4 linked regions of the Arabidopsis thaliana genome follow. The protein of the gene in region 4 interacts with the protein of the main gene of each other region in a pairwise test. Each region holds a gene or a part of one and is shown on either strand. Other genes may lie near its edges. The genes, in order: AT3G12180, AT2G16030, AT1G11940 and AT3G05150.

The links.
Region 1: the proteins of AT3G05150 (region 4) and AT3G12180 interact in a protein complementation assay, tested with the Arabidopsis thaliana proteins (one large-scale study listed by BioGRID).
Region 2: the proteins of AT3G05150 (region 4) and AT2G16030 interact in a protein complementation assay, tested with the Arabidopsis thaliana proteins (one large-scale study listed by BioGRID).
Region 3: the proteins of AT3G05150 (region 4) and AT1G11940 interact in a protein complementation assay, tested with the Arabidopsis thaliana proteins (one large-scale study listed by BioGRID).

Annotation. Positions count from the first base shown.
Region 1 is NC_003074.8:3,881,566-3,885,391, forward strand, and holds AT3G12180 (Cornichon family protein), read left to right. Parts: upstream 1-1,764; 5' UTR 1,765-1,898; coding exon 1,899-1,973; intron 1,974-2,454; coding exon 2,455-2,636; intron 2,637-2,721; coding exon 2,722-2,844; intron 2,845-2,944; coding exon 2,945-3,005; 3' UTR 3,006-3,299; downstream 3,300-3,826. Other genes in the region: AT3G12170 (Chaperone DnaJ-domain superfamily protein), read left to right, coding at 8-109, 191-250, 336-442, 529-611, 703-793, 886-1,090.
Region 2 is NC_003071.7:6,973,139-6,976,970, forward strand, and holds AT2G16030 (S-adenosyl-L-methionine-dependent methyltransferases superfamily protein), read right to left. Parts: upstream 1,870-3,832; 5' UTR 1,754-1,869; coding exon 1,058-1,753; 3' UTR 535-1,057; downstream 1-534. Other genes in the region: AT2G16018 (uncharacterized protein), read right to left, coding at 1-380; AT2G16019 (uncharacterized protein), read left to right, coding at 34-144; AT2G16020 (uncharacterized protein), read left to right, coding at 218-448; AT2G16040 (hAT dimerization domain-containing protein / transposase-like protein), read left to right, coding at 2,879-3,185, 3,615-3,832.
Region 3 is NC_003070.9:4,030,982-4,035,960, reverse strand, and holds AT1G11940 (Core-2/I-branching beta-1,6-N-acetylglucosaminyltransferase family protein), read left to right. Parts: upstream 1-1,805; 5' UTR 1,806-2,014; coding exon 2,015-2,302; intron 2,303-2,384; coding exon 2,385-2,501; intron 2,502-2,576; coding exon 2,577-2,677; intron 2,678-2,801; coding exon 2,802-2,873; intron 2,874-3,003; coding exon 3,004-3,085; intron 3,086-3,232; coding exon 3,233-3,313; intron 3,314-3,413; coding exon 3,414-3,455; coding exon of another isoform or gene 3,456-3,491; exon of another isoform or gene 3,492-3,646; coding exon 3,647-3,703; intron 3,704-3,794; coding exon 3,795-3,941; intron 3,942-4,028; coding exon 4,029-4,193; 3' UTR 4,194-4,427; downstream 4,428-4,979. Other genes in the region: AT1G11950 (Transcription factor jumonji (jmjC) domain-containing protein), read left to right, coding at 1-157, 238-519, 595-667, 750-835, 916-1,035, 1,140-1,214.
Region 4 is NC_003074.8:1,438,134-1,444,167, forward strand, and holds AT3G05150 (Major facilitator superfamily protein), read left to right. Parts: upstream 1-1,939; 5' UTR 1,940-1,980; intron 1,981-1,992; exon of another isoform or gene 1,993-2,065; 5' UTR 2,066-2,082; coding exon 2,083-2,238; intron 2,239-2,351; coding exon 2,352-2,414; intron 2,415-2,512; coding exon 2,513-2,602; intron 2,603-2,728; coding exon 2,729-2,788; intron 2,789-2,892; coding exon 2,893-2,958; intron 2,959-3,094; coding exon 3,095-3,160; intron 3,161-3,399; coding exon 3,400-3,475; intron 3,476-3,599; coding exon 3,600-3,664; intron 3,665-3,770; coding exon 3,771-3,863; intron 3,864-3,937; coding exon 3,938-4,018; intron 4,019-4,100; coding exon 4,101-4,185; intron 4,186-4,279; coding exon 4,280-4,389; intron 4,390-4,469; coding exon 4,470-4,529; intron 4,530-4,627; coding exon 4,628-4,681; intron 4,682-4,768; coding exon 4,769-4,828; intron 4,829-4,918; coding exon 4,919-5,033; intron 5,034-5,115; coding exon 5,116-5,224; coding exon of another isoform or gene 5,225-5,228; exon of another isoform or gene 5,229-5,364; and 3 more. Other genes in the region: RBK2 (ROP binding protein kinases 2), read right to left, coding at 14-66. UniProt on the Arabidopsis thaliana protein: Sugar transporter.

The sequences.
Region 1 (3,826 bases), 2.4 Mb from region 4:
AATACAGGATGCTAAAGAGAAATTTCAGCAGTTGCAAAAGGTTATTTCGATTCTCGGTGATGAAGAGAAAAGAGCAGTCTATGATCAAACTGGCTCAGTTGATGATGCTGTAAGTTGAAAGAAAGTTTTCAACTTAAGTAAAGGTACTGGAGGATTTTCTTACAAACTGGTTATTTCCCTATCTCATTAGGATCTTTCGGGAGATGTGGTTGACAACTTGAGGGACTTCTTCAAGGCAATGTACAAGAAGGTAAGAATCATGATTCACAATTGATTTCTTTTTGGACTTTGCAACACAACTGTTTCGTTCTGTATACTGATCATTTGTGCTATAGGTCACCGAGGAAGATATTGAAGAGTTTGAGGCCAACTATAGGGGTTCTGAATCCGAGAAGAATGATTTGATTGAGCTATATAACAAGTTTAAGGGTAAAATGAGCAGGTAATTAATCATCCCCTTGTTTTCATTATTGTCAAGTTTGTGAGTTGAAGTTTGTATAAACATTATTGGTACTATATCTCTTTCAGGCTTTTCTGCTCAATGCTTTGCTCGAACCCCAAGCTTGATTCGCACCGTTTCAAAGATATTATCGATGAGGCCATTGCAGCGGGTAGGCTTCTCTTTCTTGCAATAATTCTTTTGTCTATAAAACCTATCCAGGTTCTGATTTGTTTGTGCATACCATTGTTTAACATCTGCAGGAGAAGTGAAATCAACAAAAGCTTACAAGAAATGGGCAAAGGAGATTGCAGAAATGGAACCTCCCACGAATCCCCAGAAGATGAGACGGAAGTAAGCTTCTATTTGTCTACCTTTTCCACCCCAATAAATGCCCTCTGAAGTTATCTTTGTTGTGACCTGTTTCAAAATTTCTATACTTTCAGAGCAGCAAAGGCTGCAGATAAAGATTTATACGCTGTAATGTCCCAGCGGGGAGATGAGAGGAAAGAGAAGTTCGATTCAATGTTCTCTTCACTTGTCTCTAGGTATGGTAGCAATGCTGACTCTGAGCCAAACGAAGAAGAGTTCGAAGCTGCTCAGAGAAAAGTTGAAAGCCGGAGATCATCGAAGAAGTCTAGAAAAAAATAAAGATTATGTAGTAGTTTGTGAAATTTAGGTTTCGTGTTTGTAATGGAGACCAATGTTTTTAGCGTAAATTAGATCACATTTGTTGCTTCTTAGAAGTTGAAGACTAATGTGTATTTGCTAGGAAACAATGTGTATTTTTACTTTTTGTCTTTTTTCCAACAACAAAAAAAGCAGTGAGTTTACCAGTTCAAAAGCTCAGGGTCCCACGTGTATGTCGTCTGGATCTTCAGAAGAAGAGAAATTCTATCACCGGGTCCTAGGACTTCTCCACCTGCAAAAACAATCAGGTCGAGTAATGCATCATAATCAGTTGATAACTAAACAAGCCTTTGTTACAATGTAACATATAAACGTACGGTATCAACCAAGTTTCTCGGGAAGAGGAGAGTGGACGGATCCTTTGGCTTGTATAGGCCTAAATAAAGAACTAACAAATTTCAAGTGAACTTATTTAAAAGAACCAAATAATTATTCTAAAAGAGAAGAAAAAAATGAAATTATTTACTTATATGGCTTGTATAGGCCTAAATGGCATACAGTTAATAAATTTTGTTAGTTCTTTATTAATTAACACCAAGCATCTTTTTTTTTTGTTGAAAAAGAAAAAGGAATTTAACAAAAAGGATATTCACAAAAAGAAACTAGAGAAGTAATAATAAAAAGGAAAGAAGAATCTAATGTCCAATAGAACCCCAAAGTAAAGTACACCAATTGTTGAGAGAAGAAGAGTTCTTTTTTTTTCAAAGGTATTTAAGGAGAAGAGTCGCAGTCGCAAAAAGACGAATCGTAATTGTTGAAGAGAGCAAATATGGCTTGGGATTTGTTTTTATGGATAGTCTCCTTCTTCGTTAGCTTGGCTCTCGTCGCTTCCGTCTTCTACCAGGTAATCTATCTACTTTGTTTGTCCCCTTTTACTTTCCATTAAGATTCTTAAATCGAGATCTGTCCTTACTGTTCAAATCCTGATTGTCGGAATTGTACTTGTGAAAAAACACCGAGCAACTTAGCTTTTTGTTCGAATTAGCTAAAAAATTAGGAATGGAACAATTTTCCTTTGTGTTCGTCGGTTTTGTACTAAATACAATTGACAATTTTTTGGGTCCAGAGAGGTTTCATTGTTTATCCTTAATCTTATGCTTCTAACTCAAAGTTGTTCTTAGTTCTGATTTGGATTGTCTGCAAGGCTTGTATATGATACTTGGTCAATTGAGACATATAGTTGATTAATTGCGAGTTATATACTGTGAATGAATGAAGTTAGATACTACTACCAATAGTGTTTACTCTCATACTAACTGCCTCTGCTAATGATTGAAGCATTGAGATTCCTTTTTAGTCTATTGATATCGTGTGTGATTTTGTAGGTTATCTGCTTAACGGATTTAGAAGCTGATTACTTGAACCCTTTTGAAACAAGTACCCGTATCAACCGATTAGTAATACCTGAGTTTATCCTCCAAGGGTCACTCTGCCTTCTCTTCCTCCTCACATGGCATTGGGTCTTCTTTCTGGTCGCCGTCCCTGTAACAGTCTATCACGCAATGTTGTAAGTATCTATATCCATCCATATTGCTTATGATTCTTGATTGACATGCGTGGAAACTAAATACGCGCCTCCCATTGTTCTTCAGATACAAAGAGCGACGTTATCTCATCGATGTCACTGAAGTGTTCCGTGGTATCAGCTTTGAAAAGAAGCTCCGGTATACCAAGCTCGGGTTCTACGTCTTTCTCTTCATCATGGTTGTCTTTAGGTAAAAAAAACTACAGCTTTAGCTTTCCTATTAACATCTTCACTTACTTTGGTTCTTCTACTATGAAGTTACTTACCGAGTCCATAAAACATTTTTGCAGGCTCACTCTCTCTGCGGTCTATAGCTTCACGGAAGATGATGATCTACTTCATTTGTTTTGATTTATGCGCTTGCGCTCTGCGTTATCAACCACTCTCTCTTTATTTTCTGAGTGTGTTTTAGAAAATTGTGACAGGTTTTTATTACGTCCCTGCTTAGAATTAGCCATTCAGGGATTCATCATGTAGCTTTATATAACGTATGATTACCGAAAACTCATCACAAATCGTTTGACATGGAGGGTTTCATCAGTTTTGTTTTGCGCAATATAATGTTCAGTCTCATCATTGAAGTCATAAAAATCATGTATCAAGAATGAAGCTACATTGTATTACATAGACTGGCTGTGGAAAAACGCACCGATATCTAGTTTATCGGAGATGCAATTGAACCCGCTGTGGACCTTAAATCCATGTCCATCCAAGAGGAGGAGGAGAAGGTGACCCAAACAGAAACTCTGCAAGAACAAAAACCAAGGCATGTTTCAACAAACCTTTTTATATGAGCCAATTTTTGCGATAGTGACCAAATAGCGACCCAAGAAGGATTACGGCCCAACCCAAGAGAGTTATCCAGCTTGATTACGTCCCAGACCCCCTATGACCCGATCCGGACCGGCTCAGACCATCTCACAAACCGATAATATTTACTACGGGCATTAAACCGGTTAAATAAGGAACTTTCCTTATTTAGATTTTTTAGGGCAAGAGTCTGGGACCACGAGAGACTCTAGTCAATCCAAGCGAAAAGATCATTCAAGATAGATAGACTACAATTTTCATACTTGGCCGTGGCCCGTGGGTGTCCTTAATTAACTCCCAACGACTATGCCACTTAATCCAGCAAATAGGCGCTTATTCACTTACCTTATCAAAACCATAAT
Region 2 (3,832 bases), on a different chromosome or scaffold from region 4:
AAAGTGGTGTCGTCGGCGAGAAGGAAAACATCAATGAAAAAATCAGTGATCGAAGAGGTCGGTGACGGAGATTCAGATATGGCGGAGGAGATATGGAGAATGAGCGAGACCAAATCTGGGAGGGAAGAGGAGCTCAACGACTGAGCATAAGAATCAGCAAAAGTGAAGCAGATCTGAGAATCTGGTGGATCCGGTGGTTCCGGTGGAGTCGGCGGAGATGGAGGCTCTGGTGGTGGTGCACAAGGTGGCCTCAGAAGGAGGAAGGCGACCGAAGACGACGGTAAGCGACGAGAGTGGCTCGCATTCGAGAGAAAAAGGAAAGTCATTTCAAGTGAAAGACTCGCCGGAAAACAATTACGCCACCGGAAAAGTAGATTCATTGGAGAGATCTCACTTTAGTAGTAGCTACAATCAGGAACGCAGGCAGTCAGAGGAGCAACGCCGGTGAAGAGAACTAATCACGAACAAGGCTTGCGGCTACCTTGGTTATCTTGCTTGAGAGAAAATTTTTTTTTTTTTTTTTTTTTTTTTTTAGTAAGAGCCTTTTATTCACCAATAAGAATTTTGTTCTTTCTAAGTATACAAAATGACTAAAGAGTATTTTACTTAACTCACAAATAGTACACAGGAGAGCTCTAACAGATTGAAACGTGAACCTCACCTGGAAAGAAAGTACTTTCTTTCATCACACACTAAAGTCTTCAAAAGCTGTTGAAAGTTCTTTACTTGTTTCAAAAGCGACCAAGGTTCCTAAGAATTGTTTAGCTCAGAGACCAACTTCCAAAAAAAAAGATATTAACCTGTAGAAAGCTTTTGTTCTGGATCTTGAACTCGCAACAAACATCGCAGCTTCCCTCAACAAAACATTGCTTTAGGATCCAGAACAAATATGGTCATGGTCTTTGAACAATGTTACCACATAATCTGTTAAATCTCCTGCTTTTCAAACATGTAAGTGAATTTCAACAGAAACAAATCTAGCTCCACTCTATGAATATTGAAGCAGTTTTCTGAGAATCCGGAAAGGGCCTATAAATCAAAAGAGAAATAAAACACCTCAGGTAGGAGAGTCTTGAACTTTGAATAGTATACTAGTCTTTTTGGATCCTTCTAAGGTTACATTAGCAACATCAACGACCTTGGAGTTATGAAAAAGCCTAGCAATGTCTCTTACATCATCTCCACCACATTCATCAACCGAAACCACACAAAATCCGCCACGTCTCACCGTCCTCTCCATCTCCTCCACAAACTGCCACGGAAACAGAGCTTCAGCTAGATGTGCAGTGAAGGCAAAATCAAAGACACCGTCGAAAAACGGAAGGTTATGAGGATCAGCTCTTTTCACAAGAGGAATCGAATCAACCAATTCAACTGCGGTAACATCAGATAATCCGATCTGAGAAAGAGCCATCAGAGCATGGCCTGCTCCGGCGGAGAGACAGAGAGCTTTGGTGTGATTTTGAATGAATCCGAGATCGCGAAATCGGAGGAAGTAGGTAGAGAAGGAGTATAGACGAGATTTCCAAGCTCCAGAGGACCAGATTCGAGCGTTCTTCTTTGGGAGAGGAAGATGCTGACGAGGCGATGAATCGCATGTAGATCTCGGGAAATGCGTATGAGGTTTCGATGGAGCTTCTGGAGAAATACAAGTTTTTGGTGTCTGGAGAATCATAATTACCATTAATACTGTTCCGATGCTTAAGAACACTATTGATACTCTCTTCAGCATCTTCTCGACGTTTCTCTCCATCGTCGCCGATCAAAACTCCGATCAAAATATCTATGTTTATATAACATCAATAATAAAAACACAATCACCTAACAAACGCCGTTGATTGTTACCAAAACTCTAAATAATCTATTTTTGGAACGAAATTCAAATATTCATATAAGATTAGCGGATCGAATTTCTCTCTATTTCCTCAATTTTCCACAAATCTATGTCGATTTAGTATAATTAATCGAAACATGGTCAACTAACAAACGCTGCGAATTGTTATCAAAACTCGAATCCATCTATTTTTGGAATTAAAATTCAAATATTCCTCAAAAATTAGCAAATCAAATTTCTCTCAGTTCCTCAATTTTTACACAAATCTATGTCTATTTAGCATCAATAATTAAAACACAATCAACTAACAAACACCGCCGATTGTTACCAAAACTCGAATCCATCTATTTTTAAAAACAAAATTCAAATATTCCTCAAAAATTAGCGGATCGAATTTCTCTCTAATTCCTCATTTTGGCACAAATCTATGTATATTTAGCATCAATAATCGAAACACATTCAACTAACAAACGCTGCAGATCTAATCCATCTATTTTTAGAATCGAAATTCAAATCTTCCTCAAAAATTAGCGGATCAAATTTCTCTCTTGTTCCTCAATTTTCGCACAAATCTATGTCTATATAGCATCAATAATCAAAATACAATCAGCTAACAAATGCGCTGCTTTGTCACCAAAACTCGAATTCACTTATTTTTAGAATCAAAATTCAAATATTCCTCAAAAATCAGCGGATCGAATTTCTCTCTAATTATTCGATCAAGAAACAAATCCTACATTGTTAGCAAGTAGTGGGTATAATGACTGGAAAAATGCTGCGCAAAGGCTGAAAAGACATGAAACAACTCATCGTCATATTATTTCCATGACTCATTGGATGGAGCTAGAAGTGAGATTACAAAAGAGTAAAACAATTGATAACCATATGGAATAGGCAATTAAGAAGGAGAAAAAACATTGGAGAGATGTATTGGTGAGAATAATTGCAGTGGTAAAGACTCTAGCTAAACAAAATTTAGCATTTTGTGGAACTAAAGAGAATGTTGATGATCCAAATAGTGGAAATATTTTGGCATTTATTAGAATGATTGGAGGTTTTAATTCGGATATGAAGGAACACATTCGGCGGGCTAATAAAGGTGAAATTCATTGCCATTTTCCCAGTCATAAGAGTCAGAATGAATTGACAGAATTACTTGCTAATGATACCAAGATGATGATCTTAAAGAAGATTAAAGATGCGAAGTATTTTTCAGTCATTCTTGATTCCATTCCGGATGTTAGTCGTAAAGAACAAATGACCTTCTTAATTCGATGTGTGGATGTTTCAACGTGTTCACCTAAGATTGAGGAGTTCTTCTTGACGTTTCTACACATCAAAGATAAGAGGGGTGAGGGGCTTTTTAAGACTCTTCAAGATGCATTGATTGATCTTAAGTTGAATATTGATGATGTAAGATGACAAGCATACGACAACTGACAAAATATGAAGAGAAAACATAAAGGAGTTCAGAAAAGGTTGCTTGATATAAATCCAAGAGCATTTTACACTCCATGTGGATGCCATGGTCTTAACCTTGCACTTTGTGATATGGCTTCATCATCCAAGAAAGCTGTTTCTTTTTTTGGAATTGTTCAGCGAATACATTGTCTGTTTGAAGCTTCAACCAACAATTGGGAAGTGTTTAGAGAAACAGTGAATGGTATTACACTTAAACCGTTGTCTCAAACGCGTTGGGAAAGCCGCATTGATAGTCTTAAACCAATAAGATATTAAGCTTCAAAGATACAGATACAAGATGCACTTTTTTATTTGGCAGAATACACTGATAATCCAGGACACCGGAGTGATGTTGAGTCTCTTACAGAGAGTGAAACACATGGAATTGGAGGGTTTGAATTTTTATTTGGAATGATAATTTGGTACGATTTGCTAGCTGCTGTGAATATAGTAAGCAAATCCTTACAGTTTGAGGATATGGATCTTGAGGTTGCTATTTCTCAGTTAGGAGGGCTTGTTACTTATTTGAAAAACTAC
Region 3 (4,979 bases), on a different chromosome or scaffold from region 4:
CGATCCTAGATCAGGAATTCTCAACATTGCTACAAAACTTCCTGAAGGACTTCTTAAACCAGATCTTGGTCCAAAAACTTATGTTGCATATGGGACTTCAGATGAGCTCGGTAGAGGAGATTCAGTCACTAAGCTTCACTGTGATATGTCAGATGCTGTAAGTTTCAGAATTGTTACTTAGTACTGTTAAATAATAATACGGTTTCTCAGGTGTATAACGGTTTTTTGTTTTTGTAGGTTAATATTCTGATGCATACTGCTGAAGTAACACTAAGTGAGGAGCAAAGGTCTGCAATTGCAGATTTGAAACAGAAACATAAGCAACAGAATGAGAAAGAGCTTCAGGAGCAAAATGGTTTAGAGGAAGAAGAGGTTGTGAGTGATGAGATTGTGGTTTATGATGAAACAAGTGGTGCACTTTGGGACATCTTTAAAAGAGAAGATGTTCCTAAGCTTGAAGAGTATCTAAGGAAGCATTGCATAGAATTCAGACATACTTATTGCTCTCGTGTTACAAAGGTAAGAAATAATCCACAAAACGTTTTCAGTTCCGAGTCTTAGAGGTTATTGTGCTGATAGGATTCTTTATGTTAGGTGTATCATCCAATACATGATCAGTCATATTTCTTAACCGTGGAGCATAAAAGAAAACTCAAGGCAGAATTTGGTATGGTTACTTGTAACTGTAGTAACTGTCACTTACCGACATTGTATTCTTACGTTTTTGTGTTTGTTTGTTTGAACTAAAGGGATTGAGCCATGGACATTTGTGCAAAAGCTAGGAGAAGCAGTGTTTATTCCAGCAGGTTGTCCTCATCAAGTTCGGAATCTCAAGGTTATTATTTGAATGGAAGCTGTCCTATTAACTAAACTTTTTCTCATTATCTTTAACTTGTATTATGGATTTTGATACAGTCGTGCACAAAGGTAGCTGTTGATTTTGTTTCCCCTGAAAACATCGATGAGTGTCTCCGTTTGACTGATGAGTTTCGACAACTCCCTAAGAACCATAAAGCCAGAGAAGACAAACTTGAGGTGATTCTTTTTCTGATATTTTCAATTTTGGATTAGCAACTTCTGTCAATGGATACAGTTTTGTTTGTAGTTGAATCTTGTTTTAATCTTTGCCATGTGAACAGATAAAAAAGATGGTGATCTATGCAGTTGAACAAGCTCTGAAAGAAGTGGAGACATTATTGCTAGATCGCAGCTAAAAGCTCTATAGCTTTGTTGTTGTAGGATTAACAGCAGATTTTGTAGAATTGTTAAAGCCATGGCTATTGTAGTTGGCTTTTGCTGTGATATATGTATGTAAAAGAGACAAGTGTCTCTTGAAAAGAATGATTTCCTTTTTTTCAAATGGGATTTTGATGTAACTTTTCCTTTTCCGGTCTGTTTTGGCATATGAATGAATATTTGATGTAAGCTTCTTTTGTATAGTTTTGTATCTTTACATCATTTTGAGAGCAAATGAAAGTTTATGATATGAGAGCATCATAGATTCATAGTAGCAAATACAATTGGTTCAGTTGTTGCTTGCAAATTTTTACTGCAGTAAATATGGATTGTTTTGTTTTCAAAGGTTTTAAAATGACTTAATACATTAATTTCCAAAGGTTTTGTTTTAAGGTATTTTTTTTTTTTTTCTAATTGTATAGAAGGAAATACAATAATTAATATTCCTAGTCAAATTGTATAATTTTCATACCATTTTCTGACAATTTCAATTTCGGACAACAATTTAATGATGTTCTAATTTAACGTGGGTCCCAACTAACTTAAAACGTGTACGTGGCTTACGACGTCGTTTACAAGTTTATACGTCGAACTATCAACATCATTCTACCTTTCTTTCTCTCTTTCTCTCAAAATCCAAAATGTTGTAATTTGCAATTCTTCAGTTTCCGTTTCTCTCCTGAGAAATTTATTGACTTCAAAAACCCTAAAAAGACTTGTGATTGTTCGTTTCTCTAACTCGAATGTTGATCGTACGACGGTGAGTGATCGTAGTACAATGACGAAGAAATCACAGCCGCAGATTCCGCCTCCATTGTCCCGTCGCGGCGGCGTCGTGTGGCTGGGATGGAAACTCGTAATCGCTTTCTCCGTCGCGCTTTGCCTTCTTGCTCTTCTTCGAATCCAACTACAGTACAATTCCTTCACGACATTGTCGTTTCCACTCTCCGTCGCGAGATCTCAGACACCGCTTCACAAATACTCCGGTGATCGTCCCAAGCTCGCTTTCCTTTTCTTAGCTCGCCGTGATCTCCCACTTGATTTTATGTGGGATAGATTCTTCAAGGTCAAAAAAGATTCTTAGTCCTATTAATACTTGTCCGTTATTCTAAATTTCGAAAAAATTGCTGATTCTGGTGATTTTGCAGGGAGTGGATCATGCGAATTTCTCAATTTATATACATTCAGTACCTGGTTTCGTGTTCAATGAAGAAACTACACGATCACAGTATTTCTATAATCGCCAATTGAACAATAGCATTAAGGTGAGTGTTCATGAGAATTTCTCCATTTGATGTTTTTTTATAGTGAAACTTAGGGTGGTGTTGTTATGGTTATAGGTAGTATGGGGAGAATCAAGCATGATTGAAGCAGAAAGATTGTTGCTTGCATCTGCTTTAGAGGATCACTCCAATCAAAGATTTGTTCTTCTCTCTGACAGGTTTGCTTCTTTCAGCATTACTCTTTCAGATCATCTTATGCCTGACCACTTATTGCATCTGACTTTGAGCACATTTGTGGTTTGTACGGACTTATTTCATTTTCATCTACTTTCTGTTTTGCAGATGTGCTCCATTATATGACTTTGGCTATATATACAAATATCTTATCTCTTCACCGAGGAGTTTTGTGGATAGGTAGATTGAAAGTCTGAATTTATGAGGTTTCTTAGTACTTCATACTTGATATATATGGCCTGATAACTGGTGTATTATAAGAGGAGTTGTCTAGATGTTGATAACTATGTTTGTTGCTCTCTATTGGCAGTTTTCTTCATACTAAAGAGACACGGTACAGTGTGAAAATGTCTCCTGTCATACCTGAAGAGAAATGGCGAAAAGGATCCCAGGTATCTTCATTTTCTTGCTTAGGAAATGAACATTGCTACCAAGATTTTTGAAGCCTGAGTTTCTTGTGAAAATTTAAGCATTAGGAGGATAGGGACCTTTTAAAGTTCATGAAGTTTTTAATCTCATCTTAGTTTTATCTATTGCAGTGGATAGCTTTGATCAGAAGTCATGCAGAGGTCATTGTAAATGATGGTATCGTATTCCCAGTTTTTAAGGAATTCTGCAAGGTAAAGATTAAGCTTTATGATCATGACTTTAATTTCAATCTTGATTCTTTGTTGCTGAAGAAACAATAACTTACTTCTTGATTTCTCTTTCGATTTGCAGAGATGTCCACCTTTAGGTACCAATGAGGCATGGTTGTTTCTTGTAAGTGCTATTTCAAAGTTGGTATTTTTCATTTAATACCAGCCTGAATGTTTATGTTGATTCTTTGTGTTGGTTTCAAAACAATCTCAACAGTGTCTTTTCTGTAGTCTATGAATACTTCTCTCCATTGATTAACCTCTTTCTTTATTAAACAAATGGGGAAACTTTTATTACGTTTGATGTGAACTCAGAAACAGAAGCGACGCAACTGCATCCCCGATGAACACTATGTGCAAACATTGCTTACGGTGACCATCATATCTGATACACATCTCTCTCATTTTTGTTTCCATCTAAAAAGTTCCATATTGTTAATGTATTACAAACTGACCATTTCAGATGCAAGGACTAGAGAGTGAAATGGAACGAAGAACAGTGACATACACTGTATGGAACGTTTCAGGTACAAAATATGAAGCCAAATCTTGGCATCCCGTCACTTTCACATTGGAAAACTCCGGCCCTGAGGAAATAAAAGAAATAAAGGTACAATCTTTTTGTTCAGAGGATTAATATCACAACCGAATGAATCCCTAAGTAATCTCTCTAGTTCTTTTGCTTTTCTCGGGACAGAAAATAGACCATGTCTATTACGAGTCTGAATCTCGAACGGAATGGTGTAAGGCGGATTCGAAACCCGTCCCATGCTTTCTCTTTGCAAGGAAGTTCACGAATGAAGCTGCTATGCGCATTGTGAGTGAAGGACTAATAGGATCATCAGCAAACAAAACCTTATAACTTTGCAACAGTGTAAGCAAGTAGGTCAAGCAACAGAGCGTATACATAGAGTAGGAATAGCATTGATACATTACAAACATCCCTCATGAGGTTTAATGGTTTATGATTATATATGACGCTTAGTAAAAACTAATAATCATTCTTCATGGATAATCTTGTGTTTGGGTGTTAAAATTTCTATGTGTATATGTCTGAAGAAACTGGCTTCGATTAATAGAATATGTTAATAGCAAATTCTACTCTGGATTGATGTCTTTTACTCATTCTCCTGGAAATTGTTAAAAAAAAACTAAAATTTTCAAGGACTCGAACACACAATAATGAAGTACATAAACACTTAACCAAAACAAACTTTTTAAACAAGTGACCTTACATTTTTCTTTATAGTTGGTAGCGTAAAGCACATGTTTTGGTTGCTTTATGGGCGGACTGGGCCTAGTTCGTCGGAATTCTAAGCTTCTTTTGCAAATCTGATGATTCCATAGAAATGAGTCAAACGACGAGCCGTTGGACGGTAGTTGAGCTCAATTGGGCCACATTTTTTGAAAAAATTTGTTCACTAAAATTAGCTTAAAAAAAACATTTTTTTAATTGGGCTACAACAATGCAATTATTCCAAATCCATAGTATTGGCATTGTCATTTTTATAAAAATCTCTCTGAATCTTTTAAGTTCAAAAATCTTAACCATTAAAAAAATTCCCAACCGACTCGAGCTAAGCCTAGCAATCATAAAAAAAGGAAAACTTCCATTAACGAAAACTTCTCATCAGAAACTCAACTCCTC
Region 4 (6,034 bases):
ATTGAATGATTACATTGGAAGAGCACAACACACGGGAGAAGCTTCTTTGCTTTGGTCTACCGCCATGAAAGAGTGTTGGTAGGACACTTTTAAGATTTTCTCAGAAACCTGAAAACCTAAAAATAGAGAAGAGGATCATAGAAAGGAAATAGAAAGAAGTTAACATTTAAACCAAAAATAAATAAAAATAGAAAGAAGTTTTGAAGTTGGTGTTCGTCTCGAGACACCCGAAAGAAAAGGTTTTGTCTGTGTGTTTAAAATTTGATTTACTAATTTAATTGTTTTCCGTTGACCAATGGTATATCTACTAGTAGTTTTTTTGTTAAGCTAATAGTTAGACTCTAAAATGACTAAATCCTATATTTGGCAATATGCTTTTGATTTTCTCTTTTTGGATTGAACTCAGAGGCATTCTCTTAGCTTCATTCATTTATGGCAGAAAGGGTTAAGGGTCCTTAAAAATCGCTTCATCTGTCGGTCTCGTTATCCAAACTCATATTCCTAATTTAGGTCTTTTAAGGTTTTAAAAAACTACTTTCTTTATCTTGTTGATAAGGAATTTATAAAAGATCAAACTTGAGTAATCTAAGTAGTTTTAGTTTTACTAATTTCATTTACTGTTACTAATCAATTGTAGATATTGACATTCTTGTATATATTGCGACCTGATAGTAATTATCTTTAATTTTCTATATGTTTTTATTCAAGTAGTACTCTGTTTTGTATTTTCTTTCTTGTGAATAGAATATTTTCTGTGTGTATATGATGCAGAAAGCCTGCATTAAAACCTGCATTGGCTTTATTGCTTTGCACCGTTTATTTATTTTTATGATTCTTATTTTTGTGATTAACAAATATTATTTCAAGTGACTCTTATATAAGTTTTGGATAGTTAAACCACGGACCACAATCATGTTGGAAGTGATTGTTCAATACTTCATTGTTGTATAAGAGAGGGGACATCGATCATTTATGTAAATCTTGTTAGGTACTGTTCTGTTCTATCAATCTATCAATAGTCCCTACGCTAACTTTCTGTACCCTCGATTAAATAGGTTTTTGCTCAATGACGCTGGGTCCAAATTGTAATGACTCAGTTCAACTTCCGCGACAAAATCATTTTCATAGATTTTGATGATTTCTATAGTGGGCGGTTTTTTCTATACATCTTACATTCGCAAGAATTTGAATGATATTAGCCCATATGACGAGAAGAAGAATAATTCATTACTTATGTGGTTAATGCGGAGTGGAAACGAATATCTCATGGCCAACTACAAATCCAAATACTGTCTTTTGAATCCCTGTAGTTTTATACTATATGATCTAGAGTTTTTTTTGGATTTTGTCTCCCAAATTAGAAATTATTATAGTATCAACTATCCATCACATTTATAGAAAAAAAAAAAAAAAAAAACTATCCATCACAGCTTGGATCTTGCGGTGGGCCAGGAAAAAACACATGAGCATCGGATCTGTGGAAAACAACTGTCTTATCGGGTCAAACCTTTGAGTCAATTACACGTTACTGTGCATGTCATAAACCATCACCAAAAAGGAAAACAAAATAACAAACCATGCATCTTACTTACCCAGTAACACAATGCATCCATAATGTACATAGTATTTGTGAATTTTTTGAGGAAAGTATTAGTGAATATTATTACTATGAAATACCATGTAATTACTTCTGAATTATCTTACTTAAGAAAATTCAAGTTTAGTCAATCAACATTAAAACTATAGAGAACCCCCAACGTGTAATAATGCATTGGGAGTTGGGACTTTCATAAAATCTCGAATAAATTAATTCAAATTGTCTAATTCGTCCAAAATTATCCTGCATGGGTTTTAGCTAAGCCAGCCTAGCTACATGTACTGATTTATACAGAGATAAATATAGACATGATATATATCAATAAATTAGGAACAAATCAGAGTTTTTAGATCTAAAAACACGGTGCCTTCTCATTTCCTCCGGTGAGTTATCCAAATCTTGTGTTTCTTATCATATATCCTATATTTTATCTACATAAAAATTGATAAGTATTCGTTGAATTCAAAGGGCATTTTACGAAGAAAATGGAGACAAGAAAAGACGACATGGAGAAAAGGAACGACAAATCCGAGCCGTTGCTGCTGCCGGAGAATGGATCCGACGTCTCAGAAGAAGCATCATGGATGGTTTATCTAAGCACGATCATTGCCGTTTGCGGTTCCTACGAGTTTGGAACATGCGTAAGATTCTTTTACGACACCTATTACTTTGGAAATAAAAGATGATGAGAACCTAAGAATTTGTGACGATTAATCTTTTTGATACGAGAAAATCTGTGTTTGTTTTTTAATAGGTGGGATACTCCGCTCCAACACAGTTTGGGATTATGGAAGAGCTTAATTTATCATATTCCCAGGTTTATATTAAATTGATTAAGTCTTCTACGTTTATAGATGCATGTTTAACAATATTTTGCTTAATCTTTTTTTTTTTTTTTTCTCTATTGGAATCTAGTTTTCGGTTTTCGGATCGATATTGAATATGGGAGCAGTGCTCGGCGCCATTACATCGGGGAAGATTTCTGATTTCATCGGTCGGAAAGGGGTAAAACCTACCTAAACAAAATTGTTTTTATCTCAATATACACACAATAAATCCTAAGAAAAATATACCATTTTTACGAAATATAAAATTACTTTTTGGCTCACATGGTTTTTGTCTTTGAGACAGGCCATGCGGTTGTCTTCAGTGATCTCTGCCATCGGCTGGCTGATAATTTACTTGGCCAAGGTTATTCTTTTGGCTGAATTTCTTCAATAGCTGTTTTCAAAAAAAGCTTTAAAATAACATGGAAAATCTGCAACTAAATAGTGATGTTTTTTTTTTAATATTAGGGTGACGTACCTTTGGATTTCGGAAGATTTCTAACGGGTTATGGTTGCGGTACCCTTTCCTTTGTGGTACGACATTTTCATAAGCATTTTCCCCTTATGGATAAAAAGCCATGCATAGTGTTATAAATTAATCAATAAATAAAAATTCCTTTTTATATATGAAACTTTTTGGAAATCCACATTTGGCACCGATTTTGTGTAGGTACCGGTCTTCATCGCCGAAATTAGTCCGAGAAAATTGAGAGGAGCCTTAGCGACGCTTAACCAGGTGATGATGATGTCCTTTTATTTACTACTGCATTAGAAAATGTACTGATTACAATAGAATCAGAGCTAGCATATGTGTTGGTGTTTTCGAGATATTTGACATTGTATCACAAATTAGGAGTATTTTGTGGTCAAAAAAACAAAAATCAAAACAGTATTTAGAGTTATTTAAATCTTTTAAAAGACAACAAAAAATTATTGTTTTATTTCTGAAATAAATTGAAATTGTTAATATTGCAGCTCTTTATCGTAATCGGATTAGCTTCTATGTTCCTCATAGGCGCCGTCGTAAATTGGAGAACTCTTGCACTAACCGGTAAACTTGTTTGTGCGGTAGCTGAACCGGAAATATTTGTTGTTGGTTTAGTAATTATACAAAATTAGATGGTATAAAATTTAATTTGGGTATAACAAAACGAGGTTTAATTAACCAATTTCAGGAGTTGCACCGTGCGTGGTTCTATTCTTTGGGACTTGGTTCATCCCTGAATCACCCAGATGGCTGGTAAGATCAACGATCGTAACTCAACATATGGTTGAAATTAACCTCTTAACATTAAAACCAAAAAAAAAACTAACCGACCCAACTCATATGCATTTTGCGTTTCAAGGAAATGGTTGGCCGCCACAGTGATTTTGAAATTGCGTTGCAAAAACTGAGGGGTCCTCAGGCCAATATCACAAGAGAAGCCGGGGAAATTCAGGTACAATCTAAAACCAGAAAATCGGTTTTGTTACGTGACATGACATTTTTCGTGTTTTGAATTCCGGTTTATAGGAGTACTTAGCGAGTCTTGCTCACCTCCCGAAAGCCACATTGATGGACCTTATTGACAAAAAGAATATTCGATTTGTGATAGTAAGAATCTCTAATTCCATTCAACCGATTATAACTATTTCCCGGTTTGATTTGGTTAAATCTTATTTTTCTATCTATTCAGGTTGGAGTTGGTTTGATGTTTTTCCAACAATTCGTTGGAATTAATGGCGTTATCTTCTACGCACAACAAATATTCGTATCAGCAGGTTATAATTCGAAAATGATCTAGCAAATGTTATAATCTAACATACTCCATTTCTAGACCATTCATCGGTTTTTGTTCCATTTTTGGAGTACCAGGAGCATCCCCAACTCTTGGAAGCATTCTATACTCGATCGAACAAGTCGTTCTCACAGCACTAGGCGCAACATTGCTAATTGATCGGCTTGGAAGAAGGCCACTTCTTATGGTATGGTTCTTGTTTCAGTTTCCAATAAATCCTAGAATACCGGTTTAGAGTATTCGGTCTGACCATGCGGTACATTGCAGGCTTCAGCTGTTGGGATGCTGATTGGATGTTTGCTCATCGGAAATTCATTTCTTTTGAAGGTCAATCATATGAAAAATAAAATTAAAAAATTAAAGCGTATAATGTCAGGAAAAATATAGGACGTTTAGGTTAACCGGTTTGATTTTGGTTTTGACAGGCTCATGGTTTAGCACTTGACATCATTCCGGCTCTGGCAGTTAGTGGTGTCTTGGTAAACATCTATAAACCTAATTTTGGTTTCAATATATATGGTTTGGTCTTGGTTTTTTCCTCGGTTGACCCAAAACCCAATTTCCAGGTCTACATCGGTTCGTTCTCTATTGGAATGGGTGCAATCCCATGGGTTATAATGTCTGAGGTAATTTCAAAACAATATATAATGTTCATATTTCATTATTTTTTCTTAATCTTGTCATTACATTAATTTACTCTTTTTTTATACTTCCAGATATTTCCAATAAATTTGAAAGGAACTGCCGGAGGACTTGTCACTGTAGTAAATTGGCTAAGTTCATGGCTTGTCTCATTCACTTTCAACTTTCTCATGATTTGGAGCCCTCATGGTATATTACATTTTTTTTTGTTATTTTATATACATAACTACTAGGTGAACAATCAGTATTGATCGCATTTCTTTGTTTTTAGGTACATTTTATGTGTATGGTGGGGTATGTGTATTGGCTATTATCTTCATAGCAAAACTTGTTCCTGAAACTAAAGGCAGAACCTTGGAAGAGATTCAAGCAATGATGATGTAACTCTGTAAATATATAATACATGTTAATTTTTTATTTTTTTTATTAAGGTATAACTATCTACATGCAAACGCATACCATTATCAATATAACCGAAAGGCTTTATATGTATTTTATGAATTTAATTTTGGATTTTCAGATTTCGTAAATCGAAAGAATTATGGCATGAAAATGTTCTTTAGTCAAGAAGTGGGCATGTTCTCTCGTAAAGAGGCTTTTCTCGAATCAATCAAACACACAGTCATACCCTTCAAATTAGTGAGGAGGATATTGTTCACTACTATCCCGCCATCGATTTTTCTTCTTCTCAATTATATCATACATAATGGGCCTTACTTTTGGGCCTTCAGCTTTCAAGAGAATTTTACTCGGTAAATGAATAAAAGAGTCTTAACTCTTAAGTGCGTTTACGATTTCCGATATTCTTCTAACGTTTAGTTTGATTTGACTTGATACAGTGGAAAAATATGAACGTTGTGAAACGGTAACATTTTCTTACCGTTTGAATCTATAATATTTGATTGGAAAGAAATTTAAATAATGACTCTCTATAAATACTCCTTTCTTGACTCTGAAATCTGAATCCTCTTTACTTGGTTTATTTCTTACAAATGTCGAGTACAATCTTTTTTTAGTTCTGTTTTTCCACTGGAGGAGTTCTCTCACTCAAATTTTATCTACATTGCTCATTAGCCGAGAGAAACAAAACATAAAAAATCCTCTTACAAGGTAAAATACTCTGGTCTTGATTCTTGTATATCGTTTTGCTATTTAAACGGTTCTTGTTAGTTGTTAATAAATATACACGT